Cricetulus griseus: one gene and its partners. Each later gene encodes a partner of the first gene's protein in a complex. Links are inferred from orthologs where the notes say so. Each region holds a gene or a part of one and is shown in the gene's direction. Other genes may lie near its edges.

Evidence for each region.
Region 2: Snrpd3 (region 1) and Prpf4 share a complex: the UniProt entries of both Homo sapiens proteins name them as parts of the U4/U6-U5 tri-snRNP complex. The link is inferred for Cricetulus griseus from reciprocal best matches to the Homo sapiens genes SNRPD3 and PRPF4.
Region 3: Snrpd3 (region 1) and Snrpb share a complex: the UniProt entries of both Homo sapiens proteins name them as parts of the U7 snRNP complex. The link is inferred for Cricetulus griseus from reciprocal best matches to the Homo sapiens genes SNRPD3 and SNRPB.
Region 4: Snrpd3 (region 1) and Strap share a complex: the UniProt entries of both Homo sapiens proteins name them as parts of the SMN-Sm complex. The link is inferred for Cricetulus griseus from reciprocal best matches to the Homo sapiens genes SNRPD3 and STRAP.
Region 5: Snrpd3 (region 1) and Snw1 share a complex: the UniProt entries of both Homo sapiens proteins name them as parts of the minor spliceosome. The link is inferred for Cricetulus griseus from reciprocal best matches to the Homo sapiens genes SNRPD3 and SNW1.
Region 6: Snrpd3 (region 1) and Prpf8 share a complex: the UniProt entries of both Homo sapiens proteins name them as parts of the U4/U6-U5 tri-snRNP complex. The link is inferred for Cricetulus griseus from reciprocal best matches to the Homo sapiens genes SNRPD3 and PRPF8.
Region 7: Snrpd3 (region 1) and Dhx16 share a complex: the UniProt entries of both Homo sapiens proteins name them as parts of the minor spliceosome. The link is inferred for Cricetulus griseus from reciprocal best matches to the Homo sapiens genes SNRPD3 and DHX16.

Annotation. Positions count from the first base shown.
Region 1 is NW_023276806.1:263,063,237-263,067,894, reverse strand, and holds the start of Snrpd3 (small nuclear ribonucleoprotein Sm D3), read left to right. Parts: upstream 1-1,716; 5' UTR 1,717-1,870; intron 1,871-3,107; 5' UTR 3,108-3,123; coding exon 3,124-3,249; intron 3,250-4,658. Other genes in the region: protein GUCD1, read right to left, coding at 840-882. UniProt on the Homo sapiens protein: Plays a role in pre-mRNA splicing as a core component of the spliceosomal U1, U2, U4 and U5 small nuclear ribonucleoproteins (snRNPs), the building blocks of the spliceosome.
Region 2 is NC_048595.1:83,456,604-83,460,694, reverse strand, and holds part of Prpf4 (U4/U6 small nuclear ribonucleoprotein Prp4), read left to right. Parts: intron 1-929; coding exon 930-1,116; intron 1,117-3,364; coding exon 3,365-3,452; intron 3,453-3,989; coding exon 3,990-4,069; intron 4,070-4,091. UniProt on the Homo sapiens protein: Plays a role in pre-mRNA splicing as component of the U4/U6-U5 tri-snRNP complex that is involved in spliceosome assembly, and as component of the precatalytic spliceosome (spliceosome B complex).
Region 3 is NC_048599.1:48,439,450-48,443,610, forward strand, and holds the start of Snrpb (small nuclear ribonucleoprotein-associated proteins B and B'), read left to right. Parts: upstream 1-1,361; 5' UTR 1,362-1,508; coding exon 1,509-1,511; intron 1,512-3,592; coding exon 3,593-3,744; intron 3,745-4,161. UniProt on the Homo sapiens protein: Plays a role in pre-mRNA splicing as a core component of the spliceosomal U1, U2, U4 and U5 small nuclear ribonucleoproteins (snRNPs), the building blocks of the spliceosome.
Region 4 is NC_048601.1:11,282,262-11,286,352, reverse strand, and holds part of Strap (serine-threonine kinase receptor-associated protein), read left to right. Parts: intron 1-391; coding exon 392-528; intron 529-2,473; coding exon 2,474-2,623; intron 2,624-3,184; coding exon 3,185-3,250; intron 3,251-4,091. UniProt on the Homo sapiens protein: The SMN complex catalyzes the assembly of small nuclear ribonucleoproteins (snRNPs), the building blocks of the spliceosome, and thereby plays an important role in the splicing of cellular pre-mRNAs.
Region 5 is NC_048598.1:116,339,066-116,343,156, forward strand, and holds part of Snw1 (SNW domain-containing protein 1), read left to right. Parts: intron 1-1,544; coding exon 1,545-1,640; intron 1,641-1,729; coding exon 1,730-1,836; intron 1,837-3,072; coding exon 3,073-3,177; intron 3,178-4,091. UniProt on the Homo sapiens protein: Involved in pre-mRNA splicing as component of the spliceosome. As a component of the minor spliceosome, involved in the splicing of U12-type introns in pre-mRNAs.
Region 6 is NC_048600.1:88,942,760-88,946,850, forward strand, and holds part of Prpf8 (pre-mRNA-processing-splicing factor 8), read left to right. Parts: intron 1-154; coding exon 155-351; intron 352-598; coding exon 599-805; intron 806-913; coding exon 914-1,077; intron 1,078-1,193; coding exon 1,194-1,320; intron 1,321-1,427; coding exon 1,428-1,620; intron 1,621-2,041; coding exon 2,042-2,229; intron 2,230-2,396; coding exon 2,397-2,635; intron 2,636-2,828; coding exon 2,829-2,975; intron 2,976-3,152; coding exon 3,153-3,363; intron 3,364-3,950; coding exon 3,951-4,067; intron 4,068-4,091. UniProt on the Homo sapiens protein: Plays a role in pre-mRNA splicing as core component of precatalytic, catalytic and postcatalytic spliceosomal complexes, both of the predominant U2-type spliceosome and the minor U12-type spliceosome.
Region 7 is NW_023276806.1:229,786,797-229,790,887, forward strand, and holds part of Dhx16 (pre-mRNA-splicing factor ATP-dependent RNA helicase DHX16), read left to right. Parts: intron 1-412; coding exon 413-667; intron 668-779; coding exon 780-983; intron 984-1,101; coding exon 1,102-1,296; intron 1,297-2,407; coding exon 2,408-2,518; intron 2,519-2,618; coding exon 2,619-2,734; intron 2,735-4,091. UniProt on the Homo sapiens protein: Required for pre-mRNA splicing as a component of the spliceosome. Contributes to pre-mRNA splicing after spliceosome formation and prior to the first transesterification reaction.

The DNA of each region.
Region 1 (4,658 bases):
TATAAACACTTTACCACTGTATCTACCTCTTAGCTCGACACAAGTGAGCCATTATTTGCTGAGGCTAAGAAAGGGCAACGATCTTATCAAAGTTCACAGTTAGATAACTGGAGGAGTAAAAATGTAAATCCCAGGGTAGGTCCAAGCCCTGCTCCAGCCTACCACCAGAAGGAACCATTCCCCGAAAGTGGTGTTACTCTCCAATTGACACTTAAGGAAGGGCTCAGGCCCCAAACCCCTTGACCCTTCCCATGAGATAGCAGCACGCCACAACAGCTTATTAATATATCAACTCTTGTGCCCCAAGCAGAGCTCCACCATGACTTCCAACTTTCCCCACTTCTTGAGCAAGCAAAGGGGTTCGGGTTTCCTCGGGGCGGAGGGAACCAGAGAGAGAAGAGTACTAAGACAAAAGCGCTGCGTTTGGGAAGCCAGATTAAAAAAAAAAAAAAAAAAAAAAAAAAAAGGCCCTTCCCTTTGCTGAGGGATCTCAGGCCGTTCTTTCCCCCTTCACAGCCCCAGGCCTTCCACAGTTCCCCCTAGGAACAGCATCACGCAACGGGGTTCAAGCAGGACCATTCGTTTCTGGGGAAGGCAGTGCCTTTGCCCCCTCGGACTTTTGCACTTGACTGCTCTCAGAACTCCCCGAGAAACAACCAGAAGCGGAGGACGGGAGACGAGAAGGAATATCCATCCACCTAGCTAAGGTCCACTGGAAGCTCCAGTCTGGGCTGAGGCCGCCTGCGGCCCAAGGTCGCGCGGCCAGACCCTGCCCAGCTCCAGGGCGGAGTCCCCCTCGGTTTCCCCGGTGAGGGCAAGGCCCTCTGAGAGGCACTGACCGGGCTCGAGCGGCTGCCCCGCTGCCTCTGCCTCCGTCCTCATGACCCGGGTGGCGCAGGGCGCCCATGGCCCCGGCCTGGAGCTGATCGCAGCTGCGACTTGTGCTGGGCAGCGAGCGCGGCCAGTGTGGGGAGAGTTCCGCCGCCGCCTCTCCTCCTCCTCCTCCTCCTCCTCCCGCCGCCGCCGCCACCGCCGCCCGCCGCCGCCGCCGCCTCCGCGGTTCAGAGCCGGGTGGGCGGGGGCTAGGCCGCCTCAAGCCCCGCCTCGTCCCTGCCAGGTCCCCGGCCTGGAGACCCGCCCCTCCCCTAGGCCACGCCTCCTCGCCCACCCACTTCTCTCCCATAAAGAGCGACCCGCAGGGCCCGCCTTCTGCGGAAGCCCCGCCCCTCCCGGGCCCCGCCCCCAGGCCCTTCCATAGCGACGTTGGCTCCTCCCAAACCCCCTCCGCTCGGCTTGCTCCTTTGCAGCCCCGGGTGTTAGCGCCGGCCCCTCGCAGTGCCTGCCTCATCGAAACGCCCCGGGAATCCTCCTCTGCCTCCCTTTCGGTCTTAGCCACACGATGAAAAATGCCAGTTTCCCACGCTCGGTGCGCCGCTTACCTGATGGCGACCAGATCCAAAGCTTAGATTCCTAGTCCAAGCCTCACTTCCTGTGGCACCACAGCAATTTTGGGGCTCCAGCCTAGCTCCCGCCCAATCCGTCCCTGGAGTACTTTGTAAGTGGGGGGGGGGTCTCCATGTTCCTTTTGGGGCTCGAGGACGGATGCTTCCGGCGGCCCCCCGGGTCCTCTCCAGGGCCGGAACGATAATGCCAGAGCCGTCGTTTTCCGAGCCGGCGGAGTTAAGGAGGAAGCATACGTCAGAGCGCTCTCGCCGCTGGGGAAAGGAAGAGGAGGGGCCCTGCGCGCGGTATCCTGGGAACGCGTGGTATTCTGGGTACCCCGGGCCCGCCATTCCCTCGCTTCACGCCTTCGCCGTGTAACGTTTGTGCCAGGGCCGAAAGGGAGCCGGTGAGGAGAGGCGGAGAACCGGTAAGAGGAGGCCTAGGCGTCCCCGGAGGGTTAGGGGCAGGAAGGGAGCCTGCGGAGGAGCTCAGCGGGGCACTAATGGCGGGCGGGAAGCCTGGGCCGATCCAAACACCGTCTCACCCGCGCTTGGAGCAGCTCCTCGTTTACGCCTGTCTGCGCGTTCTGTGCCTTTCCGGCTCGCCGATTTTCGGAGCTCGCCCGCAGTCGTTTCTCACGAAATACCCCCTTTCCCTGTGTGCCCTCCTTTTCAGCGTCCTCTGCATCCCTGCTCCCCTCGGATTCCGGCGCTGGCCCTCCCCTGCCTTCCACGACTGCTGCACGAGTCTTAGCGAGTCGCTGTGCTGCAGAAGGGCCATGTTCGAGCTATCCTGCAGATGCTGCTATTATTCCTTTTTGTTTTCTACTGAGCCTTTGGCAATGACCCTTTTGTGTCCCCCCCCCTCCACCGTTTTCAGCATAAAACTCACACTCCTTAAGTTGAAAGCCGTGGTTCCTCACCAAGAGAGACAGCGCCCAGCATCCTTATAGCCTTCTCATGGACATAGGTGGGAACGCTCATCACAGTTGCGCTTAGCCTCCGTCTTTTACTGAGGCTTAAATCGAGCGTCGACCCTGATGGTGCTCCTGTGAGCATTTCCTGTCACTTTGTGAACGCCTTGCTATCTTATCAGGGTCTATGTCTGCTGAGCACTTGGAATATTACTAGTGTGACTGGGAGGGGAGGGGCTTTTTAATTTATATTTCAGTTGAATAGCTACAGGTAAGCAGTGATTGCTTTTGAGGTCCATATCATAGTTCTTGGGTGACTATAAAGGGTCATGTGTTTGGGAATAGATAAGAGGCACTCTTCATTCCCACCAGCCTCTTCTGTCCAGCTTGCTTGCCATCCTTCCCAGCTCGAAGGCAGTGTGTCCTTGCCATGGTGGTTCCTTCAAACCAAGAGTCAGACTCCTTCCACAGAAAATGCAGCTTAGGCCGGGCGGTGGTGGTGGCTCACACCTTTAATCCCAGCACTCGTGAGGCAGAGGCAGGCGGATCTCTGTGAGTTTGAGGCCATCCTGGTCTACAAGAGCTAGTTCCAGGACAGCCTCCAAAGCCATAGAGAAACGCTGTCTCAGAATAAAAAAAAAAAAAGAAAGAAAGAAAGAAAGAAAATGCAGCTCTGACATATTTGCAAAGGGTATGGTATGCCAGTCCTTCTTAAGCTCTGAAAGACAGCTGTTGTCTCTCTCTTCCACAGGAACACTCCTGCCAAGATGTCTATCGGTGTGCCGATTAAAGTCTTGCACGAGGCTGAGGGCCACATCGTAACTTGTGAGACCAACACTGGCGAGGTGTATCGAGGGAAGCTCATTGAAGCAGAGGACAACATGAACTGCCAGGTACCTTGCTTTGCACCTGTGAAGGAACTGTGGGTGAAAGGTAATATCTCTGACTGCTCCAGGTCTAATACACATACCTTGGAGTTGTCATAGAGAGTTCAGATGGCTGTGTGTTCACAGTGGCCAGCTCAGTGCTTTGCGTGCAATAACTGGTGCCTGTTAACTGTATTCCACATGAGAAAAGTAAAGGTTGGAGAGGGAAAGTACATTATTTAGAATCACACCTGTGGGTCAGGTGGCCTGACTATTGCCTTTTAGGGTTTGCATTAGTTATTTCCTGTGGCTGTGATAACACACCATTAGAAGGGGTTTTTTTAGGCTTGCAATTACAAAGGAATGAGTCCATCGTGGAGGGGAGAAATGGTAATAGCAGGACGCTGAGTGCTTACATCTTCAATAGAAAGCTTGAAGTAATGAGAGCTACCTGGAAGTGTTGGAGGGTATTAATCTGAAAGCCTGCCTCCAGTGACATTCTTCCTTCAGCAAGGCTGCATCCCCTCATCCCACCCCCCCCAAAACAACCCACCAACACATGGGGGCCAAGTGTGCAAATGCCTGCAACTGTGGAGGATACTTTTCATTTAAACTACTGTAATTGTGCTGCTTAGTTTTTTTGTCAACTTGGTGCAAGTGAGAGTCACCTTAGAAAGGGGAACCTCAGTTGTGAAAATGCCTATCCTATAGGCAATTCTGTGGGGCATTTACTTGATTAGTGATTGATGGGTAAGTGCCCAGCTTATTAAGGGCTAAGCCACTTCTAGGCAGTTGTTTCTGGAATAAGAAAGGAAGCTGAAGGCTGAGCATGGTGGTGCACACGTTTAATCCCAAGACTAGGAGGCAGGGGCAGGTGGATTTCTGAGTTCCAGGAGAGCCAGAACTGTTTCACAGAGAAGCCCTGTCTCGATAAACAAAACAAAAAAGATGTATTTGTCTGTTTTAGGGCATTTAGTTTTGGGAGTAGAATGAAAGAATTTGGATAGTGACTATTAATATATTTAGTATGCTGCTCTAATTAATGAAACTTACCGAGGTGGGCTTCAAACAGCCCAACTATAACAGGAATTTGTCTGACTAGATTATGGTATTCTCAGAAGTGCAGCCCATGTGATGCAAAGACACAAATCTTAGTACATTATCAGGTTAAATCTTGGAAAGCAGTGTGTCTTGTGTGTGAGCTTTGTGCTGCCCTTGCCCCCTGTTCCCTCCAGAATCGGTGATAACAGATGAATGCTCACTTTGATTTACTTTAGAGTGTGTAAACTGAGGTACTGGGAATTAGGACTTCATTGTGTCCTAATTTTTGCAGGGACATAATTTAGCCCATAATACTGCCCACATCAAGATGATGAGTCTTCATTAGGTTGACCCAGAGCCTAAGCACATTGCATAAAGATCAGTAGGCTGTGTAG
Region 2 (4,091 bases), on another chromosome or scaffold:
TGCCTGAATATTTAATATTGCAAGACATGGAGCATTTTAAATGTTTTTCATGGTACATTCATTCATTCATTCATTCATTCATTTATTTATTTAAATCAGCAACTCAGATAGTGAGTTTTTTTTTGTTGTTGGCCCTTCCTTTCTTTCTGACAAGGTCTGTATGGCCCATGTTGTCCTGAAAGTCACTGTGTAGCCAAGTCTGACATTGATCTCCTGGTCTTCTTGCCTCCTCCCATGTGCAGATATTATAGGCATGCACTGCCACACTGAGCTCTTCACCATCCTTCTTTTCTGTTTTGGCCAAGCAACAATTTTAAATAATCAAACATTTTAATACAGTATAAGTGAGAGATAAAACTATTTGATACTTGATGCTGAGGAAATTAAATCTTTTTTTTCCCGTAGCTGAATCATGTCTCTATAAAAGCAAACTTTGTAAAAATGTGGAAATTTGGCCAGGCTCACACCTTTAATCCCAGCACTCAGGCGGATCTCTGTGAATTCGAAGCCAGTCTAGTCTACAAAGTGAGTTTCAGGACAGCCAAGGCTACACAGAGAAACCCTGTCTCAAAAAAGCCAAAAAAGGGATATTACAATTCATAACAGGCTTTTGAGGTAGTGTTCCTTAGTGTCGCATGGCATGACAGACTGTAAGTACATTGCAGAGTTGCACATGCTCAAAACCAAGGTTGCAGCAAAGATTCATGATGAGGCCCACAGGCCCTGCCAAAAGCAACCCTGATTTGTTTTGAATTTGATTTTGGATTAATTGTTGGTCACTGCATCTTCAGAAACCCTTCAATATTGCTGAATTCTTCAACAGCCCCACAGTTACATACCTTATGGCACTCTATCCAATATAAGAAGCTATATTCTAGGATACAGAGACTGATTGTTTCTTTCCCCCATGTTGCCTGTCCTTTGCATAGGGGAAGTATTTGAAATTGAGGAGCACATCAGTGAGCGGCAGGCAGAAGTCTTGGCAGAGTTTGAAAGAAGAAAGAGAGCCCGGCAAATCAATGTTTCCACGGATGACTCAGAGGTCAAGGCTTGCCTTCGAGCCTTGGGAGAACCTATCACACTTTTTGGAGAAGGCCCTGCTGAACGAAGAGAAAGGTATCCTTTATAGTTACACTTTTTTTGTTAATGACAAGGTTCTGGTATGTGTTCTATCAAACCCTTTCCTGCTCTCCTGTGAAGTTTGTTTGAAATGCTGGGGGTTTGTTGTTTTCTAAGATGTATTTTTGATTATGTAAATCCGTGTGCATCTGTGTGTAGTATTGTGCACATGAGTTCTGGTACCCTGGGAGTCCAGAAGAGGGTGTCATCCCCTGGAGCTAGAGTTAGAGGCACTTGTGAGCTGCCTGGTGTGGATTCTGGGAACTGAACTTGGGTCCTCTGGAAGAGCAGGAAGCATTCTTTAAAGGATACGTTTTAAAATCCTATTTATTTGTGTGTGTGTGGACATGTACATGCCTTCATACAGGAGTGGAGGTCACAGAACAACTTGTGAGAGTTGGTTCTCTCTCACTATGTGTCACAGTGTTCTGTCTCAAGTCAGCAGGCTTGGCAGTAGGCATTTTACCTGCTGATCCACCTCACCAGCCTGACTCGGTATATTTAATTTACTGTTTGTCTCTTTCATCTGCCATGTCTGTTGTCCTTTATCAAGATGAATGCCTTGAGTCCCAACTGCCACTACTTTAACTCAGGCCACCTCAGTGGCTTGGGCTTGCTGTGATCCTAAAGTCTGGTTTTCTGCCTTTATTCTTCTTCTCCTGCCTGTTGCCATGGCACTCTCACTCTCCCACCTGTTGCCATGACACTCTCACTCTCCCACCTGTTGCCATATCACTCTCATTGCAGACCCTCCTATGTGTAGTGTGAATTGCTCTGGTGACCCAGCCCCCACTTGAATACCAGTTTTGGCAGTCACCAAGCCTCCTCCTGTATCCCATATTCCAGCTCTACTGAACCATTTGTGGGTCTAAGCTCAGTCTGTTTTCCTGACTTTACATTTCTTTAACCCTCTGCCTCAACTGTCATTTTTCTGTTTTGACTCTTTGGCCTGAATGAGCACTTGACAACGCCTTTTCTGTAAAGCCTTCCCTGATACCTGCTCCACACTCCTCCCAAGCCTAGATTCCATACTTCTTCCATATTATTTCACATTCTGCTCACTGCTGTCTAATGCTGGTATAATGGACTGTGTTCTGTAGTCTCTTCAGAATTATTCTTTAGTTTTAGTTTTGTTATTGTTGTTTTCAGTCAGGGACTCACTATATAGCCTTGGCTGGCTGGAGCTCACCACCACACCTGGCTTTTAATTTTTATTTTATTGAAACAGGATCTCAACCTGTGGCACTGACTGGCCTGGAACTCACTTTGTAGACCAGGCTAGCCTAGAACTCAGGACAAGCCACCTACCTCTACCTCCAAATGCTGGGGTTAAAGGTGTGTGCCTTCAAGGCTAGTTCCTTCAGAATTATTTTTCCCCACCTGTTCTTCAAGACAAGATTGTTCTATCTAGCCCTAGCTGTCCTAGAACTCACTCTATAGACCACACTGGCCTGGAACTCAGAGATCCACCTGCCTCTGCCTCTCGAGTGCATCACCATGCACAGCTTGCAACTATTCTTAGTCATTAAATATACTTAGCCCCTGAATTAGTGCCTTGCTCAGCATGGCACTAAGTGGATTCCAGCTGTCCTTAGAGACTAAGTGACAGCTGTGTATAGATACCAGTTGACTCTAAATGGAAGAGAATAATTGCTGATAGCAGCATTTAGAAAGCCTTCAAATAAAGAGGAGTGGAGGGGGTCTGAGAGGGAAGAATAAAGGGTACACAGCCTTCCCCTTTGCTTGTGGTCTTGCTTTTTTCCTTGGTTTCTCTCATCCATAATCATATGAGGCCCCGAAATACTGACTAGGCAAATGCCAGAAGTAAACACTTGATGAATTTTAAATTGCACACCATTCTGAGTGATGTACTGAAATCCCACACCATCCAGCTGTGTCCCTTTGTCTTCTGTGTCCTTGCTGTCTATGCTGCCTTTCCATTAGTGTGCAGTAGAATAAGATATTTTGAGAGTGAGAAAGAAAACAGACCCTGTTCATATAATTTTAAAAATCTGGTTTTTTGTTACTAGCATTTTACCTTGCCTAATTTATGAATTAAACTTTATCATAATATGTGAGCTGGGAAAGACACACAGTATAGGTAAGGTTCATTGCTCCCTGCAGTTGTAGGCATTCTTGTGCAGGGATCTTGACACATCTCTCTCACAAGTGGTGATGGGGTCCTACTGAACCTTTTAACAGTCTTATTTCATCCATATTGATTTCTGACGTTTTTTTGTTACAGGTTAAGAAATATTCTCTCAGTGGTTGGAACTGATGCCTTAAAAAAGACAAAAAAAGATGATGAGAAATCTAAGAAGTCAAAAGAAGAGGTAAAATGTGAAGAAATTGGAGACTAGCTCTTTCCAGTGCCATGCTGTGCTAGGATGAGGAGAGGTATCTAGAGGTTCTGCCATTCTGGAATGGTTGATGGCAGGAATTGGTAATTCTTAAACAACTGTGAATGGTGCTGTAAATTCTCCATTCAAGAAGGCACTCAATGTGACTCAGTAAGAAACCAGAAACTAGTAAGACATCAAAGAAAAAAGTAGGGGCTGCAGAGATTGCTCTGCCCTTAAGAGTGTGCACTGCTCTTCAAGAGTCCAGCAGCCCACCACTGCTAAGCAATCTGATGCCATCTTCTGGCCTCCATGGCGTCTTCGTGCATATGTACATACCCCCACATAGACACATAACACATAGTTAAATAAATGTTTTTAAAGAAAACAAAAGGTAATTAATAGAAAGGACATGTGGCTGCTTCATTCTGTTACAATTCACTTTCTTTGTGAGCAATTACAATTAAGAACAGCCGTGGGGAGAGTCTGTGTGCTTCAGACCTAACATTTCTCCTGTTATTTCCTATTCAGTATCAGCAAACCTGGTACCATGAAGGGCCAAATAGCCTAAAGGTGGCCAGACTGTGGATTGCTAATTATTCACTCCCCAGGTAAGCAGAGGTCCAGAAGAAA
Region 3 (4,161 bases), on another chromosome or scaffold:
AAAAACCAAAAAACAAAAACAAGGTTAGAGGAATAAATTACAAACTCCTGGGCATATAAACAACAGTTAGAAGTCACTGAGCAGAATAAGATTAATTCATTCAGCAAATAATTATTGAGCCTTTATGCTAAGCAGTGATCTAAGCAAATAAAACACTATACTCTAGTGGAGCTTACATTCTAATGGGGTAATAAAATAACTTAAGAATATAGACAGTAATCATCTCTTATCCCAGTCTATAGGTCTGAAAATATTAAATGGAAAATTCTAGAACTAAGCATTTAATGTTCTAAGTCATGCACCATTGTGACTAGCATGAGGAAATACCATATTTTTGCCCTAACCACAAATCTTCCCTTTGTGTAGGTTTCCACACTGCATACGCTACCCTCTCGGTAGCTAGAGGGATCATCAGATCAACTGACCTGCGTTGCAGTGTTTGTGTTCAGGTGGTCCTTGTTTTGTTAATAGTCCTAAAGCACTTAATTAGTGATGCCGGCAATTCAAAGGTACCCAAATATGCTTTCTTTAAGTGGAAAAGCACAAGTTCACTGAAGTATACATATGTAGAAAAAATACAGCATATTCAGGGTTTGGTACTGTGACTCGGAGAAGGTACTGGGAGTCTTGGAAGGTAACCCCTCCAACAATGAGGGGACTACCGCTTAGCATGTCAGATAGCAATCAATATTAAAGACAAAAAATGGGAAGGACTCGTTTCTTATCTATCTATCTATCTATCTATCTATCTATCTATCTATCTATCTATCTATCTACCTACCTACCTATCTATAAAGAGAAAGGACGATCAGGGAAGTCCTCACCAGGACAGTGTTATTTCAGTCTAAACATGAAGAGGAAAGGGCGAGACAAAAGCAAATGCAAAGGTACAGATGAAAGAACATTTCAAGCCTTAGGGGAAAATCAGTAAGAGTGAGTTCTGTGAGTGAGTTCACGAGAGCGCTGGGTTCAAGAACTGGAGTAGGGGAGGGGTTCCGGGGAGAGAAACACGCCACCCTCGCGGAGACTAAGTTGGGAAGGTGTGTGTCCAACGAGGATCCAATGCTTTCAAGGGCGTTCAGTTTGATGTTTATTACCAAATATGATGGTGTACGCCCGCGTCGGTACTAAGGATGCTATAGGTAGGAGGATCGGAGCTTAAGACCAGCCTGGGCGACACAGTCTCTAAAACAAAACAAAACGAGAGGGAGAGCTCGATAAAATTAAAACGAAGAAAAAAAAAAAAAACCAAAACCACACACACCAAAAAAATCAAAACAAAAACAAAACCCCAAACAAACCGGCCGCAGTCAACACCTTTCCACGCCCTAAACTGCTACCAGGGCCCGGAACTCCGGGGCGGAGGCCGAGCCGGAAGTAGCCTCACGAGGGGCGGCACTTTGCGGGCTGCATTTCCGTTAGCGGCGGCGGGAATCGCGCTGCTGGCTGGCGACTAGGCCTCTGTGGAAGCGAATCCGGCGGGCATCTGAGACATCGGAGCCGCCACCATGGTAAGAAGGCGCGGGCTGGCCGCGGGGCGCTCAGGGGTGCGGAGTGGGGCGGTGGCTGGCGGCGGCCGTGGGTTGAAGCCGCCCGTGGCCGACAAGGTCGGGGTCGAAGCCGCTTAATCCGGGCGCCAAAGGCCTGGACTTGCGGAGCGGCTGGGCCCGGGTGGAGGGGAAGGCTGCACCGGGGACCGAGGCCGCCGTGCGTGGCCCGGCGCCTCTGCGGTTACAGTTCCGCGGCCTCGGTAGCTGGAAACGTGTGCCGGGTCGCTGTGTGCCCGGGCTCCCGGAGCGGACGCGAGCCTCCGGCCGACCGGGGGACACCGGGCCGGACGGAGGAGAGGCGGAGGGAGCGGGAGGGTGGAGGAGAGTGTTTGCATGCAGAGCGCGACCCTGCTACGCGTATTTTTATGTTGGGGTATGTCAGGCGCTGGGGCTGCACCCTGAAATAAGTTGTGCGTTGGTTCAGTTTCTGGCTCTGTGCAGGGCTAATGTGATTCTCTATGGCAGTTCGGCTTTAGGCAAAAAAGTAACGGCAGGGGGAGGGGCGGGACGGGTCCAGAGCAGACGCCCAAGTGATTGTTTAGGAGCGCCCCGCTCCCCTGTACGAGGGAGGGTTAGAAATCTGGAGAACCGAGAGGGCCCAGTAGAAGGCAACGAATTGTCAGGAACCTGGTTGCTGAAGTCCCTGCATCTTGTTTTCCCTCTTGGTAGTAAGACATCGCTGGAAGAGTTTTCACAGGCTTCATGGACTTAGGTTTAGAAAGGTCAGCCGGGAAAAGTGGCCAGTGCTCGAAATTTGTAATTTCTGTGCATAGTAGGCAGAGGAGCTTGAATTTTGAAGCCAGTTTTGGCTACAGAGCAAATGTAACAAATGCCTCGAATGTCTCCAAAAATATTAGTCTAGTTAAGTAGCTGAAGAAACCCGAGGTAGCGAAAATAGGTTATTGTTTTTGAGAGTTGACTGAGACAAGTCCTTACTTAACCTTCAGCTTGGGTCGTCTATTTGGTCAGTAAAAAGGAATGACAGTGGACCCAGTTTTGAGGATTAAAGGAGATAAATCCTTTTCAAGGGCCTAGCCATACATAGCTATTAAATATTAGCTATTGGACCGATATACGCCGATCCTAGTAACAGAGCTCTTTGAGATGATTATTTAAGCAGAAAAAAATACAAAATCTGGTTTTCAGGTTAGGGCTGGGTAATGCTCACAGGGGTGAACAGCGTTCCTGGTACAGAGAAGACAACTTGGGTAGTTAAAAGTGACATAATGCCAGTTATAGTTGTGGGTAACTGATACGTTTCTGAGAGAGACTACCACAGATACCTCTGTTCACCTAGGGGTGTGTATAAGCGCCTTTATTTTTGCAAAGTTACATTGGGAACCAGGATAGAGAATGTTGTTTGCCTTAATTAAAAATTAGACTATTATATTATATATATATATTAGACTATTAAGTATCCAAACTAATTAGCACTCTGGCCCAGAAAAGTTGCCCAAGTTACCCTACTCCTGTTCTTGCTTCAGAGCTGGTTTCACTTTCTGGTAATAAGCTTTTCCTTAATTAAGTGAATCCACTTAGTGCCTGTTGAATTCCAGTTCTTAGTTTAGATGGATTTAGTTGTTCGTAGAACTGAGTCTATATAGTGGTGGATGGCTTAATGCCCACTAGGTCTAGTATGGGTGGATTTGATTAGTTTGTGAACACTTTAACTCTCCTGAGACAGATACAACATAGACAAAGTTGTAGTCCCAGGGAGATTGCCTGTTTTAAGGGCAGGGAAAATAGCACATTAATGGGCAGAAATCAAGGCTAAAGCTGGTTGATAAGAGTCTCAGAAAAGGACCTTGTTTGGAAGATGTCAGGAAATTGTTGAGAAGGTTGGGAATAGAAAAGTAGGCTGTGGTGGAAGATGGGGGCGGGGAGCAGAAGTGTGTGAGCGAGTCCTCCCTGCTCCCTCTTTGCAGACTGTGGGTAAGAGCAGAAGTGTGTGAGTGAGTCCTCCCTGCTCCCTCCTTGCAGACTGTGGGTAAGAGCAGAAGTGTGTGAGTGAGTCCTCACTGCTCCCTGCTCTCTCCTTGCAGACTGTGGGTAAGAGCAGCAAGATGCTGCAGCACATTGACTACAGGATGAGGTGCATCCTGCAAGATGGCCGGATCTTCATCGGGACCTTCAAAGCTTTTGACAAGCATATGAATTTGATCCTCTGTGACTGTGATGAATTCAGGAAGATCAAGTAAGGAGAGGGCTGTTGGGAGGGAGAAGGAACTGGGATGGACTGGATGGATGGGCGGGCCAAGAGTGGGATGGCCATTCAGCTAGGTGCTCTTGTTTGCTCACTTGCTTTTGAAGGGAGAAACTTAAAGGGGAATGTTAGCTGCTAAGGAATCTCTTCCTTAATCCAGAAAACCTTGCTCTCCAATTCTAGCAAAGTAGAAGTTGGTGAGGAGGGCTGCTAGGCTTTTAATTTTTCTGAGTTTGCATGCCCCTGGGTACTGGGGTAAAGGGCTCTCATGTTCTCCCCACAGGTGTGTGAGGGGGGAGAGCTTGATTTTCTGGCCTCATTACCTATTTGTAAAGCTGTAGCCTAAAGGGCTCTCCTATTGCAGCCTGGTCTGAAACTGCTTTAAGAAGCCTCTGACCCTCTTCAGGG
Region 4 (4,091 bases), on another chromosome or scaffold:
CATGGCATGGCATTAGTACCTGTAATCCCAGCCCCAGTGAGTAGCTAAGGAGTTAAAGGCCACTCTGAACTTTCTACAGAATCTGCCTCAGAAGCAATAAAAGGTCCCTAATAGAGTCTGTTAGCAAGTCACTGAAGTCAGTCAGGAACTGTCCACTGCTTAGCCTATGGATTCCCACTAACTGTTCCTCAGGTGAAGACTACTTGCATATGACAATCTTGAACATTTTTGTTCATGTTGATTTTTTAACACTTCATTTACACTTGATTGATGAATATTTAACTACTATTCCTTGCATTTCAGAATTTAGGAATAATTTTAATGTGGGTAGATATTTATATAGTATTAAAATTTTTGTAGGCATTTATGTTTCTGTGGTTTTTCTTCCCAGTCTGGAGCCAATTAAATCATTTGAAGCTCCTGCAACCATCAATTCCGCATCTCTTCATCCTGAGAAGGAATTTCTTGTTGCAGGTGGAGAAGACTTTAAACTCTATAAGTATGATTATAACAGTGGAGAAGAATTAGGTAAGTCTTTTTTTCTTTCCTTTTTTTTTTTTTTTTTTTTTTTTTGTCCCTTAAATCAGTGGTTCTCAATGCCTTGGTCCAACTCCTGGTTTTGTCAAATGGCCTTTTCACAGGCATCGCCTAAGAACATCAGAAAACAGATTCTTCCAATTTATAACTGTAGCAAAACTAGAGTTTTGAAGTAGCAACAAAAATAAATTTTATGGTTGGGGGGTCACCACAGCATGAGCTGTATTGCAGGGTTGCAGCATTAGGAAGGTTGAAAACCATTGTCTTAAAAGATTACTTTATCAAAATATTAACTTCTAGTAATGAGTACCTCAGATACTGACCTATAGTGTGCTGAAAGTAAGTTTTACAGCTAATTAAAACTCATATATTCAAAAATGAAGGTGTTTTTTCCATTTTTGTAGAAATTTATAGACTCACAGGCAAAATATACCGAACTCGGTTTTGACTGTTCTTTGTGCTGATGTTCTGTACTATAGCACAGTGATTTTTTTTTTTCCAGACTATTGGGAGAGGGAGTATCTGTTTTAAGTCAAATATTAAACACGCACAAGGATATTTGTTTTTTTTTGTTTGTTTGTTTGTTTTTGTTTTGAGACAGGATTTTCTCTGTAGCTTTGGAGCCTGTCCTGGCACTCACTCTATATGGCCTTGAACTCACAGAGATCTGCCTTTCTCCCTCTGCCTCCCGAGTGCTGGGATTAAAGGCATGTGCCACTGCCGCTGGCCATAATAGTTCTTAAGAAGTAGAATGGTTGATGTATGTTAATTTGAAGAAATACTTCCTAACTTTATAATGTATGTAATAGTATGCCAGATAGTTTGAAAGAGCAAGATTTTTTAGTACTGACTTTTATGCCTATTTACCAAGTCTAATTTGCTTTTTGTTTGAAAATCTTATTTTTTGTTTATAAACTGCCACTTATCTTTATTAAACTATTCTGGTTTCCACTGAAGAACTAAGCTGTCTAGATTTGTACATAAAGAACAGGAAGTAGCTTTGTTTGTTTCTTGGGGGAAACTGGTAGATTGGGGTTGCTTTAGTCAGTTTTGGAATATTTCAGTCACATGTTCCATTTTTCTCAGCTCTAGAGAGCTGTGGCTGGGTTGGGGTGGAGGAGGTACTCGGCTGGCAGCAATGAAACCCAGGCTGTGCTAAGTGGAGGAAGAAATGGACAGCTGTGCATTTTGGACCCAGCCATTCTCTTCTCAGTCTCTGTTCAAACAACTTTGGTTTATTTTGGCAGTTTGGGGGGGTTGGGTTGGGTTGGGTGGAGCTCAGGCTGAGGATTGAAAGTATTCTATGTGTATGATAGAAAGTATTCTACCTAAGCCCCTATGTTTTTACACGCTTTTAATCTCTGGCTAGTCTGAGATGGAGGAAATGCCAGAGTAAAATGATGGGGCATTAGTTTATATATGGGAGATGTTCGAAAGTGTTTTATTGAGATAGGAAACCTTCCCAACCTATACATTTTCTCATAAAATTTCTTACATTAAAATAAATGTAGGGGTCAGGATTGAGTCTGTGTCTCAGGCTTATATTAGAATTAGAAAGCCTGGTTAGGGAGTTAAGATAGAGTATGTAAAAGAGCTCCACCTGGTGGCTCTCACCAGGCATGGAAGAAATTGGTTCCTCTAAAAACAATTGATGAATTCAGGACCTAGAACCCAGGATGGAGTTGGCAGACTTCAGCTCCAGTCTCTGCAGACCTTAGTCCTTATTGACAGCTCCTCAATTCTCTCTGGGAGTGGAAACCTTATTCTGTTTTCAAAGACAGTCAGTCTCTGACATACTGATTGGAAAGGGCTAATTCTAAGGAAGTGGTGAGATGGTCTCCCAGGAACATAGACAGTGCTCTTTTAGTAAATCAATACTTAGCCTAGTAATTAGCTTTCTGTTGAGATCTGATAGCTCTGTTCCTACCTTTTTCAGAGTCCTACAAAGGTCACTTTGGTCCCATTCACTGTGTGAGATTCAGTCCTGATGGTGAGCTCTATGCCAGTGGTTCTGAAGATGGGACATTGAGATTGTGGCAAACTGTGGTAGGAAAAACCTATGGCCTTTGGAAATGCGTGCTTCCTGGTAAGGACGTTTAGTCAAAGTTATCAAATTATAATGCATAGATTTGTGTCATTTTTAAATTCTGCTTCATTCTGCCTTGTTTCCCTTAGATTTTGAATTATGTAATGTGGTATAAGCATAGTGAAGCCATGTTCTAATTGAGCAATCTCCTTTATGTGATGAATTGAATGAACTTAACTCATAATTTATTACAAAGAGACTAGGGAGATAGCCCAGTGGTTACTGGCTCAGATACACACAAAAATAGAATAACAATTGTTAGAAGACAGTATGAAGAATTTACAAGTATCTATCCAGTTCCCTTTTAGTATTAAATTACTTGATCCTTCCCACTGAAAACATGTTTTTCATCCCAGAAACAAAAATTCAAACACTTACTACTAATCCCAGTGTGGCTGTAGTACTTGAAAGTGACTCTGAGATGTCTGTTTTGGAATCACAGTAACTTTTAAAAGAGGAATTGCCCTGTGTGAGTTTTAAAAGAGGAATTGCCCTATGTGAGTTCGAGGAACCAACCCTGTTGTGCTTCCTAGTCAGTCGTCACTGCTTTTCTCTTCACAGAAGAAGACAGTGCTGAACTGGCAAAGCCAAAGATCGGTTTTCCAGAAACAACAGAAGAGGAGCTGGGTAAATACAAATTTCACTTTTTTCTAAGAGTTCTCCGGTTGTAAAAATTAAGTGTATGTGTGTTTTGGTCAGTGGCAAAGTAATTAAGTGTGAACAGATTTGAATTAAATTGTAGGAAGCTTACACACAAGTGCCTAAGCATTAATTACAGAGTCCGAGGTCTCGTGTACCCTGTGTGCATGACCGATGGGTAACTCTCATAAACTTAGGAGACAGGTGATATCTTAACAAATTACTTAGTTTATAATTGCATTAACAATTATACTAGTTGAGACCATGGATGGACAGGTGAGGTTTTAAGGAGGACGTGGTATTGATGAAGGGTAGAAGAATTGATCAGAAAACAGAAATACCAAGGTAGAGAAGCAGGGTGAAGAATCTCACTGTGTTTGAGGAGTAGGGGACAAATGAGATGGGAGGAAACTAGACCATCCAGTGTCTTATTTGCTCTCTTACAAATGAGATGGGAGGAAACTGGACCATCCAGTATCTTATTTGCTCTCTTACAATTGTGAGTGTTTTATAAACTGGGAGAATGAAAAACCTTTGATTTTAAGTGGAGGAATATAAATTTAGAAAATAGTAGTGTGGAGAAAGAATTAGAGTAGGGACATTGAAAGTCCAGCTTTGTAGCCATGGGACAGGTGCAGGACAAAAGAAGGTAGGTGAACTTGACCTTACTGGGAGGATTGGCAAAATGGATGGGCAATGGTTAGATTGGAAGATGGGTCTTAGGTGTAGTGACTTGGGACAGTGAGAAACAGAGTGTTCCCCACAGACTCTGTGGTGCTTCCATATCCTCCCCCCCCCCATGCTATTAGAACACTTCTCTCCAAAAGCA
Region 5 (4,091 bases), on another chromosome or scaffold:
TCACAGAGATTTGTGCCTCCCAAGTGCTGAGGTTTAAAGGCATGTGCCACCACGCCCAACTTTGTTTTCATTTTATGCATATAAAATGTGTTTGCCTGTATATATATTATGTGTATATGAGGGACGCATGTGCCTGGTGCCCTTGAAGGCCAGAAGAAAAAAAAAATAATAGAATAAAAATAAAAAATAATAGAAGAAAGTGTTAGATCCCCTGGAACCAAAGTTACAGACTGTCGAGCCACCTCGTGGGTTCTGGGAACTGAACCATGGTCCTTTGTAAGAACAGAAAATGTTTTTAACTGCTGAGCCATCTCTCCTGCCCCATAAGTTGTTCTTGGTATGTATGTGTGCCAAAGAATTTCTAATAAAAGTATTAAAATCTAAACTATTGGTTAAAATTTCTAGTATCGTTTTTTTTTTTTTTTCTTTAAAGTCTGCCATGTACATTTTAATGGAGGTACTTGGGAAGTATAGATAGCAGGCAAGTAAATGATCTGTTTCAAAAGCGCATTACACCAGCATCAGCCTAAAAGGTAAAAGGAAGGTGTTGGTCCTGATGCAATTTACGTATTGGGGTGATTAATTTTGATTGTCAATTTGCTACAACCTGAATCACTGGGAAGGGAGCTTCAGTTGAGTACTTGTCTAAATTAGGTTGGCCTGTGGGCATGTCTGTAAGGGATTGTCTTGATGACTGATAAAAGAAGACAGCCCATTGTCGGCACCACTATCCCTTAGGCAGATGGGTTCCCCACTATGTGAGTCAGGCGAAAACTAAATGAGAGCAAGCGGCAGAGTCATTGATTTCTCCCTGCACTTGACTGGATATAATGTGACTAGACGCTTGAGTTCCTGCCTTGACGTCTCTCAATAATAGACTCTAACTTGGAATTATAAGCCAAATAAACCCTTTCCTCCCTGATTTTCTTTTGGTTAGGCTATAACAGACAGAAATGAAACTAGAACACATATATAAATATATTTTTGTTTTTTCTGACTCTTGTAGAAGAAAATATTCTGGGTTTTTTCTTTTTGTTCATTTTCACTTTCCTAATTTGTGAATAGAATTGATTCCAGAAAACAGAAACATTATAAATAGGATGAGGGCAATGGAATTTTCTAGGCCCAGTGAATTTGGAAATTATTTAGTAACCGGACTTAAATTTCTGATGAGTTTTTAATCCAGGATAATGGTGCTATAGGCAATTTATATCATCATTAATTTCAAGTCCTAGTGAGCCTCAAAAATAGAGATCACTGATGCATAAGATTTTGTTGGCAGAATGTATTTGGATACTGACTTGATTAGAAGATTTCAAATAATTTAAATGCATGGGGTCAAGGGAAAGTGATCATCTTGGAGCCAGGGCAGCAATTTGTGTACATATTTTAAGCTCCTTTAGTTTTAAAATCTGAACGACAAAACTGAGTATCCTAAATGCGTAAATATGCTGAAAGGACATGTTGACATGTACAGCGACTTAATGAGGCTGCTTCCCTCCACCCTGTGTGTTCCTAAGCTGCTTGTGTTTGAACACTTTTAGGTCATTTACAGCAAGTACACTGACCTGGTTCCAAAGGAGGTTATGAATGCAGATGATCCAGACCTGCAAAGGCCTGATGAAGAGGCTATTAAAGAGGTAACTAGGGGTTGGTGTATGTGATTATTTTAGATGACTTTGTGTCCTTATTAATTTCCAACTGCTCACCGTGCTGCTTCTCATCTCAGATAACAGAGAAGACAAGAGTAGCCTTGGAGAAGTCTGTGTCGCAGAAGGTTGCTGCAGCCATGCCTGTTCGTGCAGCTGACAAGCTGGCTCCTGCTCAGTATATCCGGTATGCACCCTGCTGGAAGTGTTAGTTGCATGTCAGACTCCCTAGGTGGGATTTTGAAGACTCACCAGCTTACAAAGCCAGTTCAAATGCATTGTCTTAATGACCTTTGAAGCCTATCAACTCTAGTTTGCAAAAGGCTTTTTTTGTGTGTTTGTTTTTAATTTTCAGGTTTATTTATTTAGTGTAGAGTGCTCTGTTTGCATGTATGCCTACAGGACAGGAAAGGGAATCAGACACAAGGTGACATTGAATTCCATAAAAATGGTCCTGAGCCACCATGTGGGTGCTGGGAACTCAGGACCTCCCAAACCACTGAGCCATCTCTCAGTCCCCAGAAGTTTTTTTTTTAATCCCTACATTAAGATGTTAACGGTCCCAGCACTCGGGAGGCAGGCCTCGAACTCACAGAGATCAACCTGCCTCTGCCTTCTGAGTGCTGGGACTAAAGGCCTGCTCTACCACCGCCTTGATTTTCAGTTTTTTAGAAAATAATTGTTACCTATGGTATATGACCCAAACGACAATTGTTTATAGTTTTTGATTATATTTAATAAACTTTTATAATGCTGCTAAATGTTGAGGGCCTTTACTGGACTGTCTTTGTGAAGAATGATTGGAACTAGATGTTAAGGGAAAATTTTGAGTTAGGGCTGCTGCTGCAGTTTTTACAGCATACATTGCATGTTGCCAGTGGGCATACTATTGTAACTATTTTCCTTTCTTTAAAAAACTTTTACTCATTTATTTATTGTTATTATATATGTATGTATGTTTTGCCTGCATGCCCAGTGCCCAACGAGGCCAGAGGAAGAGTTGCAGGAACTGAAGTTGCAGGCAGTGGTGAGCAGCCATGTGGGTTCTGGGAATTGAACTTTGGAAGAGCAGCCAGTGCTCTTAACTGCTGAGCCATCTCTCAGCCCTGGCAATTTTATTCTATAATGTAGACTTAAAAGCAGGTGTTAGTTTTAGACCTGGGGAAGCTGGACAGGTGTATTTCCCAGGTGGAATGTGGAAAGGATGAAGAGGGAAGTCAATAACCACTTAAGTGCATATTTTGTTTGATTTCACTTCTGTTTCTTTTCTGGTCTGCTTCTGACTGCCCTGCCTAAATGTATGGTGATTTTATGTCAGTACTTCCTGAAAAGAATTGAAAGTATAGTCATGTGGAACTATAATAGAAGATAAATGCCTACCAAAAGCTTGAACTAATTACACCTTTAATTTTCATCTATTTAGCTACACACCATCTCAGCAAGGAGTAGCATTCAACTCTGGAGCTAAACAGAGGGTTATTCGGATGGTAGAAATGCAGAAAGATCCAATGGAGCCGCCAAGATTCAAGTAAGTATGGCTTCATGAGTGTCTTAATTGAGGTTTTTTGTTTGTTTGTTTGTTTTTGTTTTTTGAGACAGGGTTTTTCTGTGTAGCTTTGTAGATGAGGCGGACCTCGAACTCTCAGGGGTCTGCCTGTCTCTGCCTCCCGATGCTGGGATTAAAGGCATGTGCCACCACCGCCCGGCTTAATTGAGGTTTCTATTGCTATGATGAAACATCATGACCAAAAAGCAAGTTGGATAGGAAAGGATTTATTCGACTTACACTTTAGCATTGCTGTTTATCACTGAAGGAAGTCAGGACAGGACAGGAACTCAAAACAGGCCAGGATCCCTGAAGCAGGAGCTGATGCAGAGGGCTATGGAGGGGCGATGTTTACTGGCTTGCTTCCCATGTCTTGCTAAGCCCGCCTATAGAACCCAGGGCCAACAGCCCAGGGATAACATCATGGGCTGAGCCCTTCCCCATTGATCACTAAGTGAGAAAATGTCTTACACCTGGATCCCAAGGAGGCATTTCCTCAACTGAGGCTCCTTCCTCTATGATTCTGGCTTATGTCAAGTTGACACACAAAACCACCCAGTACAATGAGGATCAACAAAAGATCCCACATGTTCGTTAGTAGGTGAATACGTAAGCAAACATCAGTACCTCTAATATTACTGAGCCAAGCAAAGAAAAACTACTACAATAACATAGATGCCTCTGAAAATAATTGTGCTACATGAAAGAAGCCAGACAAAACAAGTAATAGAGTGTTATGGTTCTGTGTATAACTCAAGAAAACGGGGTCAGCAGGAAGGCTCAGAGGTTAAAGAAACTTACTGCCAGGTCCAGTGGTCACATGGCATCAAAAGAGAACCCACTCTTGTGAAGTTGTTCTCTGACCTCCATACTTCCCAGGGTACATACATACAGCA
Region 6 (4,091 bases), on another chromosome or scaffold:
CTGTCAGATTTGAGCTATCATGCAGTTGCAGTACAAGTTCCTCAGAAGTATGGTTGAGAATGTTAAGGTGGCTTGTCTTTTTGCATGTGTGGAACATATGGTCACTTTGTTACTATTTATTGATGTAATCTATGGGCTGTCTCTTCACTTCCAGGCCGTCACTCAAAGGGGGTAGCAAAGACAGTAACAAAGCAAAGAGTGGAGTCCCATTTTGACCTTGAGCTTAGGGCAGCTGTGATGCACGATATTCTGGACATGATGCCTGAAGGCATCAAACAGAATAAGGCCCGAACAATTCTGCAGCACCTCAGTGAAGCCTGGCGCTGCTGGAAGGCCAACATTCCCTGGAAGGTAGGCTTTCCTCTGCCTCCAAGAAGACATAGCCATTCATCTTCCTGAGGTTAGGATTAGAGTACCTTTAGAGGGCCTTCCACCTTCTATTACCCCAACCCCTCCTTTCTTGAGGTGGTTTCACTGTGTTGTCCTGGCTGACCTGTAACTCTGCAGGCCAGGGTGCTCTCAAATTCAAGAGATCTGTCTGCCTTTATGCTGGGACATGGGCGTGAAACTTACTTTTTCATTGTGTTTGTATTTTCAGGTCCCAGGCCTGCCAACACCTATAGAGAATATGATTCTTCGGTATGTTAAGGCCAAGGCTGATTGGTGGACCAATACTGCTCACTACAACCGTGAACGAATCCGCCGTGGGGCCACTGTAGACAAGACTGTTTGCAAAAAGAACCTGGGCCGCCTCACCCGCCTGTACCTGAAGGCAGAACAGGAACGGCAGCACAATTACCTGAAGGTTGGACCAGCTGGGCTGGGTGGTAAAGTGGGTTGCAGAGTGGAGATCATGCTTTGTATTGGTTTGGATGATAGTGGGAGACTAGCTTCATTCATGTTCACCTTGCAGGATGGGCCTTACATTACAGCAGAAGAAGCAGTGGCTGTGTATACTACCACTGTGCATTGGTTGGAAAGCCGTAGATTCTCTCCCATCCCATTCCCTCCACTCTCCTACAAGCATGACACCAAGTTGCTCATCCTAGCTCTGGAACGCCTCAAGGAAGCTTATAGGTAAGGAATGACTGGGAGGGTAATAGGGAATGGCATTGTGGCCCGAGTCCAAAGAAAGGTGTAGTCCTTTTGCAACTTCTTGGGTTTTCTCATTCACCTTTCCTTTGCTTTGTTAGTGTGAAGTCTAGGTTAAACCAGTCTCAGAGGGAAGAGCTGGGTCTGATCGAGCAAGCCTATGACAACCCCCATGAGGCTTTGTCCCGCATCAAGCGTCACCTCCTCACGCAGAGAGCCTTTAAGGAAGTGAGTGATGCTCCCTGAGCCTTTTGGTCTGTGCTATTTATCCTTGGCATCTAGAGGATGCCAGGCTGGCTGGTGAATTGATGTGAACCAGGTTTCTTGTCCCACAGGTAGGCATTGAGTTTATGGATCTCTATAGCCACCTGGTGCCAGTGTATGACGTGGAGCCCCTGGAGAAAATAACTGATGCCTACCTGGACCAATACCTGTGGTATGAAGCAGATAAGCGCCGTCTTTTCCCACCCTGGATCAAGCCTGCCGACACGGAGCCGCCTCCACTGCTCGTTTACAAGTGGTGCCAAGGTAAACTTCGCTGCAGTTCCCACCCAGCAGAGAAAGGTGATTCTGTCCATGTAAAAACTCTGACCCAGGCTGCACATTCAGTTTGCTCTCTTTGCGTGGTAAGAATGAGTGCTATTGCCTGGCACTGGTGGCACACACCTACAATCCCAGCTTACAGGAGGCTGAGGCAGGCAGATTGATGAGATCAAGGCCAGCCTGGTCTACAAAGCAAGTTCCAGGACAGCCAGAGCTATACAGAGAAACCCTGTCTTGAGAGGGGGAAAAATGAATAGTGTGGATGTTGAGCAAAACTGACACTTGTAGCAGCCAGAATGAATGAATGGTAGAGGGTTTTGGAATGTGTTGAGACTGCTATAGTTAGTTACTAAACCTGGAAAGGAATTTCTAATCTGCTAAACTCTTGTCTTTTTGCTTCTTTTAGGCATCAATAACCTGCAGGATGTGTGGGAGACCAGTGAGGGCGAGTGCAATGTCATGTTGGAGTCCCGCTTTGAGAAGATGTATGAAAAGATTGACTTGACCCTGCTTAATAGGCTGCTGCGACTCATTGTGGACCACAACATAGCTGACTACATGACAGCCAAGAACAATGTTGTCATTAACTATAAGGTCTGTCTTGGAGCAAGTAGCAAAATGTGTCAGGGGGTTTGTCTGACCCATCGAGTTAGGATTTGCTGAGGCAGAGTGAAGGAGATTGGACCCTGAAGCACCTGGGACAGAGCCAGTCTTAGCCATACTAAGAGTTGTGCGTTTTTGTTTTTGTTTTTTTTTCCTAGGACATGAACCATACAAACTCATATGGGATCATCAGAGGCCTGCAGTTTGCCTCTTTCATTGTACAGTACTATGGCTTGGTGATGGATTTGCTTGTATTGGGATTGCACCGGGCCAGTGAGATGGCTGGGCCTCCTCAGATGCCAAACGACTTTCTCAGTTTCCAGGACATAGCCACTGAGGCTGCTCACCCAATCCGACTCTTCTGTAGATACATTGATCGCATTCATATTTTCTTCAGGTAAAGAACATGGTCTGATCCTTTAACCTGCATGTCCTCACAGCACTGAGGCATGTCCTGCCTGTGAAATGGCTCTTGTAGCTTAGTTGACTAGTTGCTGAGTTGAAGCTATGAAGTGAAATGAAGTCTAGAGTAGCATAGGGTCCCCACTTGTGGAGCTGGCATTCTCAAAGTGTCCCCTGTCTTAATGTAGGTTCACAGCAGATGAAGCTCGGGATCTGATCCAGCGTTACCTGACGGAGCATCCAGACCCCAATAATGAAAACATTGTTGGCTACAATAACAAGAAATGCTGGCCCCGAGATGCCCGAATGCGCCTCATGAAGCATGATGTCAACTTGTGAGTCTCAGTTGGGCTTGTAGGAGTAGAAAGAATGCCAGTCCTAGGGACCCAGAAAGCAATTAAAATTGAGGAGGTTATATCTTGGGTAGGAGGAATATGGGCCTATCTTCTGTCTGGTCTATGAATGCAAGTGTCTTCAACAGACTGAAATTCTTATTTGTTCTCTGTGGACAGGGGTCGGGCAGTGTTCTGGGACATCAAAAACCGGCTGCCACGATCAGTGACTACAGTACAATGGGAGAATAGCTTTGTGTCTGTGTACAGTAAAGACAACCCCAACCTGCTGTTCAACATGTGTGGCTTTGAGTGCCGCATCCTGCCTAAGTGCCGTACCAGCTATGAAGAATTCACCCACAAGGATGGGGTCTGGAACCTTCAGAATGAGGTACAGTCTAGGAAGGACATCACTTTACCACCCTTGTAACTCTGGCATCAATGGGGTGAAAAACAGTCACACCTTTTCATTATCAGCTCAGTGACCCTTAGGTGGGTTGAGCTTAGTAGTGATCACGATTAATCCTTGCTTGTGTAGCCCTGGCTGGAATTTACTTTGTAGACCAGACTGGCCCTGATTGTCTCAGAGATCAGCCTGCCTCTGGCTCCACCTCCCACAGGTTAGGATTAAGGCATGTGCCACCATTCCCTGCTATTCCCTTTTTATTTTTTCTTTGAGACAGGTCTTACTGTTCAGTGATGGCTGACCTGGAATTTTATATAGACCAGATTGGCCATGAATTCACCAAGATCCTCCCTGGAATCTGCATTCTGGGATTAAATGCATGCATACCATGTTAGCTTTTCATCTTATTTATTGCCTTGTTATTTTTGTGGAGTTTGGAGGACAGCTTGTAGTTAGTTCCACTCTGTGGGTTCTGGGGATTGAACTCAGGAAATAGGGCTTGGTAGCAAGCACGTTTGCCTGCTATAAACCATGTCATCAGCCCATCTAGAGCCTCTGATTTTGTGGTTTAGGTTACCAAGGAGCGGACAGCGCAATGTTTCCTGCGTGTGGACGATGAGTCGATGCAACGCTTCCATAACCGAGTTCGTCAGATTCTAATGGCCTCTGGCTCCACCACCTTTACCAAGGTATGTTGGGCCCTAAGGCTCCAA
Region 7 (4,091 bases), about 33 Mb from region 1:
TTAGAGATCAAGCTGGTCCTCCAGAGGGCCTGAGTTCAATTCCCACCAAAACAAGGTGGCTCACAACCACCTGTAATGAGATCTGGTGCCCTCTTTCTGGCCTGCAGGGACACATGCAGGCAGAACACTGCATACATAATAAATGTCGACAAAAGAAAGATTGATGGAGCGGTTGGCCATGGCGGGAAGGGCTGGGGAGAGAGTGTGGTGACTGTGGGGTGGTTGCTCAGTCCGTAGCGCAGGGGGGGGCTGACTGACAGGAACCACCAGGAAAAGTTACAAACCCTCCTGACTCCGGGGGGTCGAGTCACAGCTCGGCTTCTGCTGTCCCGTAGGCAGCCAGCATCTCTCGAGTGGGGAACTGTGTTGCTTCCCTGGTAGGGTGAGGTTGTGACTGTCCTTCCTGGCCCAGGTCCCCGAGCTTCGCAAGAAGTCTCGCCGCGAGTACCTGGCAAAGCGCGAGCGGGAGAAGCTGGAGGACCTGGAGGCAGAGCTGGCGGATGAGGAGGTCCTGTTTGGGGACGTGGAGCTGAGCCGGCACGAGCGCAGGGAGCTCAAGTACAAGCGTCGAGTGCGGGACCTGGCCCGGGAGTACCGGGCGGCCGGCGAGCAGGAGAAGCTGGAGGCCACCAACCGGTACCATATGCCCAAGGAGACTCGGGGACAGGTGAGGGGCGCCGCCTCCCCCTGCTCACGGGTGGGGCACAGCAGGCGGAGGGAGCGAGGGGACAGCTAGGACCACCCTTCGCCAGGCCCCGCAGCCTTGCCTCTCTCCGCAGCCAGCTCGAGCTGTGGACGTCGTGGAGGAGGAATCGGGCGCCCCAGGAGAGGAGCAGCGGCGCTGGGAGGAGGCCCGGCTAGGTGCTGCATCCCTCAAGTTCGGGGCCAGGGACGCCGCCGCCCAGGAGCCCAAGTACCAGCTGGTGCTGGAGGAGGACGAGACCATCGAGTTCGTCCGAGCCGCTCAGCTGCAGGGAGACGAGGTGTGTGCCAGCAAGAGTCTGGGACGTCTGTGGGGGGGGACGGGACGGGACGGACGGACACTCTGAAAAGGGCAGGGGCCCCATTCTCCATCCCCTTCCTCCTCCTCCTCCTCCTCAGGAGCCGTCGTCAGTTCCACCCCCATCAGCCCAGGCCCAGCAGAAGGAGTCCATCCAGGCTGTCCGCCGCAGCCTGCCCGTGTTCCCCTTCCGAGAGGAGCTCCTGGCCGCCATCGCCAGCCACCAAGTCCTCATCATCGAAGGCGAGACCGGCTCCGGGAAGACCACACAGATCCCGCAGTACCTCTTCGAGGAGGTCAGCCATCACACCGTGCCCGCTGCGGCCCGGACCTTGAGTCAGCCTTGGCAGACCCGTGTGTGTGGAGGGGTTGCAAGAGTCCTGTCCTGGCCTGTCTTGCCCTGTCCTGTCCTGTCCTGTCCTGTCCTGGTCTGGCCTGGCCTGGCCTGGCCTGGCCTGTCTTGCCCTGGTCTGGCCTGTCCTGTCCTGTCCTGTCTTGCCCTGGTCTGGCCTGGCCTGGCCTGGCCTGGCCTGTCCTGGTCTGGCCTGGCCTGGCCTGTCTTGCCCTGGTCTGGCCTGTCCTGTCCTGTCCTGTCTTGCCCTGTCCTGTCCTGTCCTGTCCTGTCCTGTCCTGTCCTATCCTGTCCTGTCCTGTCTTGCCCTGGTCTGGCCTGTCCTGTCCTGTCCTGTCCTGTCTTGCCCTGGTCTGGCCTGTCCTGTCGTGTCCTGTCTTGCCCTGGTCTGGCCTGGCCTGTCCTGTCCTGTCTTGCCCTGGTCTGGCCTGTCCTGTCCTGTCCTGTCTTGCCCTGTCCTGTCCTGTCCTGTCCTGTCCTGTCCTGTCTTGCCCTGGTCTGGCCTGGCCTGGCCTGTCCTGTCCTGTCCTGTCCTGTCCTGTCTTGCCCTGGTCTGGCCTGGCCTGGCCTGGCCTGTCCTGTCCGTCGCGCAAGTCCCGAGGCTTTTCAGACACAGTCAGATCAGGTTCCCTGCCGTTCTGTTCTCGATGCTGTCACACCGTGCCGGGTGTGAGTGAGGACGTACGGGTCTGCCCTGCAAGCAGCGAGAGATGAAGAGCATGAATCTGAACCTGACATGCTTCAGCCCCGTGTGACCTCTACCCTGCCTTCCCCTTTCAGGGGCGAGAGAACCAAGAATGAAAACGCTTGTTTTCCTTACTCTCTGACCTCCCGTCTCCCCTGGCTTCTGGCTGTTGCCCCAGCCAGTCTGTCCCTGGTCAGTTCAAGTCTGGCAGAGCCCTGACTGTAAGCGCAGGTCTGCAGGGCTGGCCCGGCGTCCCCTGGGGGCCCTCGTTTCTAATCTCAGTCTGTTCTTTTCCGTTCTCTTTTCCTGCCCTGCCTGGCTCGCCCCAGGATGCCTGGCAGAGGAACACCTCTCTCTCCTCTCTTTCTAGGGCTACACAAAGAAGGGTATGAAGATTGCTTGTACCCAGCCCCGAAGAGTGGCGGCCATGAGCGTGGCTGCCAGAGTGGCCCGGGAGATGGGTGTGAAGCTTGGGAATGAGGTAAGTTCTTTGGGGATTCAGGAGAGGGAAGCCTCTTTCACGGTCCCACATCTCAGGTCTGGGCGCTGGTCAATCTTACCTCCTACCTGTCTCTGGCCAGGTTGGCTACAGCATCCGCTTTGAGGACTGCACATCAGAGCGAACCGTTCTCCGCTACATGACGGATGGGATGCTGCTACGGGAGTTCCTCTCTGAACCCGACCTTGCAAGCTACAGGTACACGCGGGGGTGGGGTGGGGGTGGGGGGGGTGGATGCCACCACCTCACTCCTGCTGCCTATGCCCCTCAGAGACTCTTGTTTCCTTCAATCTCGTTCTTCCCACGGCCGACATACTCAACCCACCAGATCTCTTTAGTGTTTTGAGACACGGTTTCATTCTACAGCCCAGGCAGGCCTGGGACTCACTATGTAACATGAGCTGGCCTCAGTCTTGTGGGTCTCAGCAACAGCCACCTGGCCAAGCGGTGTTTCCTTTAAGGCGTGCTCGAACTTCCGCTTCTTCTGGTGAGAATAGCTGTTCTGACTGACCCAGAGATACTGACAACGTGTTCCTGTCCTGGCTGCCGGACTTCCCTGCCCTGTTGGCTTTTTTACATTTGAAAAAAAAAAAAGTGTGTGTGTGTGTATGTGTGTATGTGTGTATGTATGTGTGTGTATGTGTGTGTATGTGTGTATGTATGTGTGTGTATGTGTGTGTGTGTATGTGTGTGTGTGTGTATGTGTATGTGTGTGTATGTGTGTATGTATGTGTGTGTATGTGTGTGTGTGTATGCCTGTGTGTGTGTGTATGCCTGTGTGTGTATATATGTATGTGTGTATGTATGTGTATATGTATGTGTGTATATGTGAGTGTGTGTGTGTGCGTATTTATGTATGTATATGTGTGTATCGATGTGTGTGTATATATGTATGTGTGTATGTATGCATGTATGTGTATATATGTATGCATGTGTGTATATGTGTGTATGTATGTGAGTGTGTGTGTGTGTGTGTATTTATGAATGTATATGTGTGTATGTATGTGTGTGTATATATGTATGTGTGTATGTATGTGTATATGTATGCATGTGAGTATGTGTATATATGTGTGTATATGTGAGTGTGTGTGTATATGTATGTGTGTGTGTATTTATGAATGTATATGTGTATGGATGTGTGTGTATATATGTATGTGTGTATGTATGCATGTATGTGTATATATGTATGCATGCGTGTATATGTGTGTATGTATGTGAGTCTGTGTGTGTGTGTGTGTGTGTGTGTGTGTATGGATGTGAGTGTGTGTGTGTGTGTGTGTGTGTGTGTGTATTTATGTATGTATATGTGTGTATCGGTGTATGTATGCATGTATGTGTATATATGTATGCATGTGTGTATATGTGTGTATGTATGTGAGTGTGTGTGTGTGTGTATTTATGTATGTATATGTGTGTATCGATGTGTGTGTATATATGTATGTGTATATGTATGCATGTGAGTATGTGTATATATGTGTGTATGTGTGTGTGTGTGTGTGTGTGTGTGTGTGTGTGTGTGTGTGTGCCATGTAGGGGCTCAGGAGGCAGCTTGCAG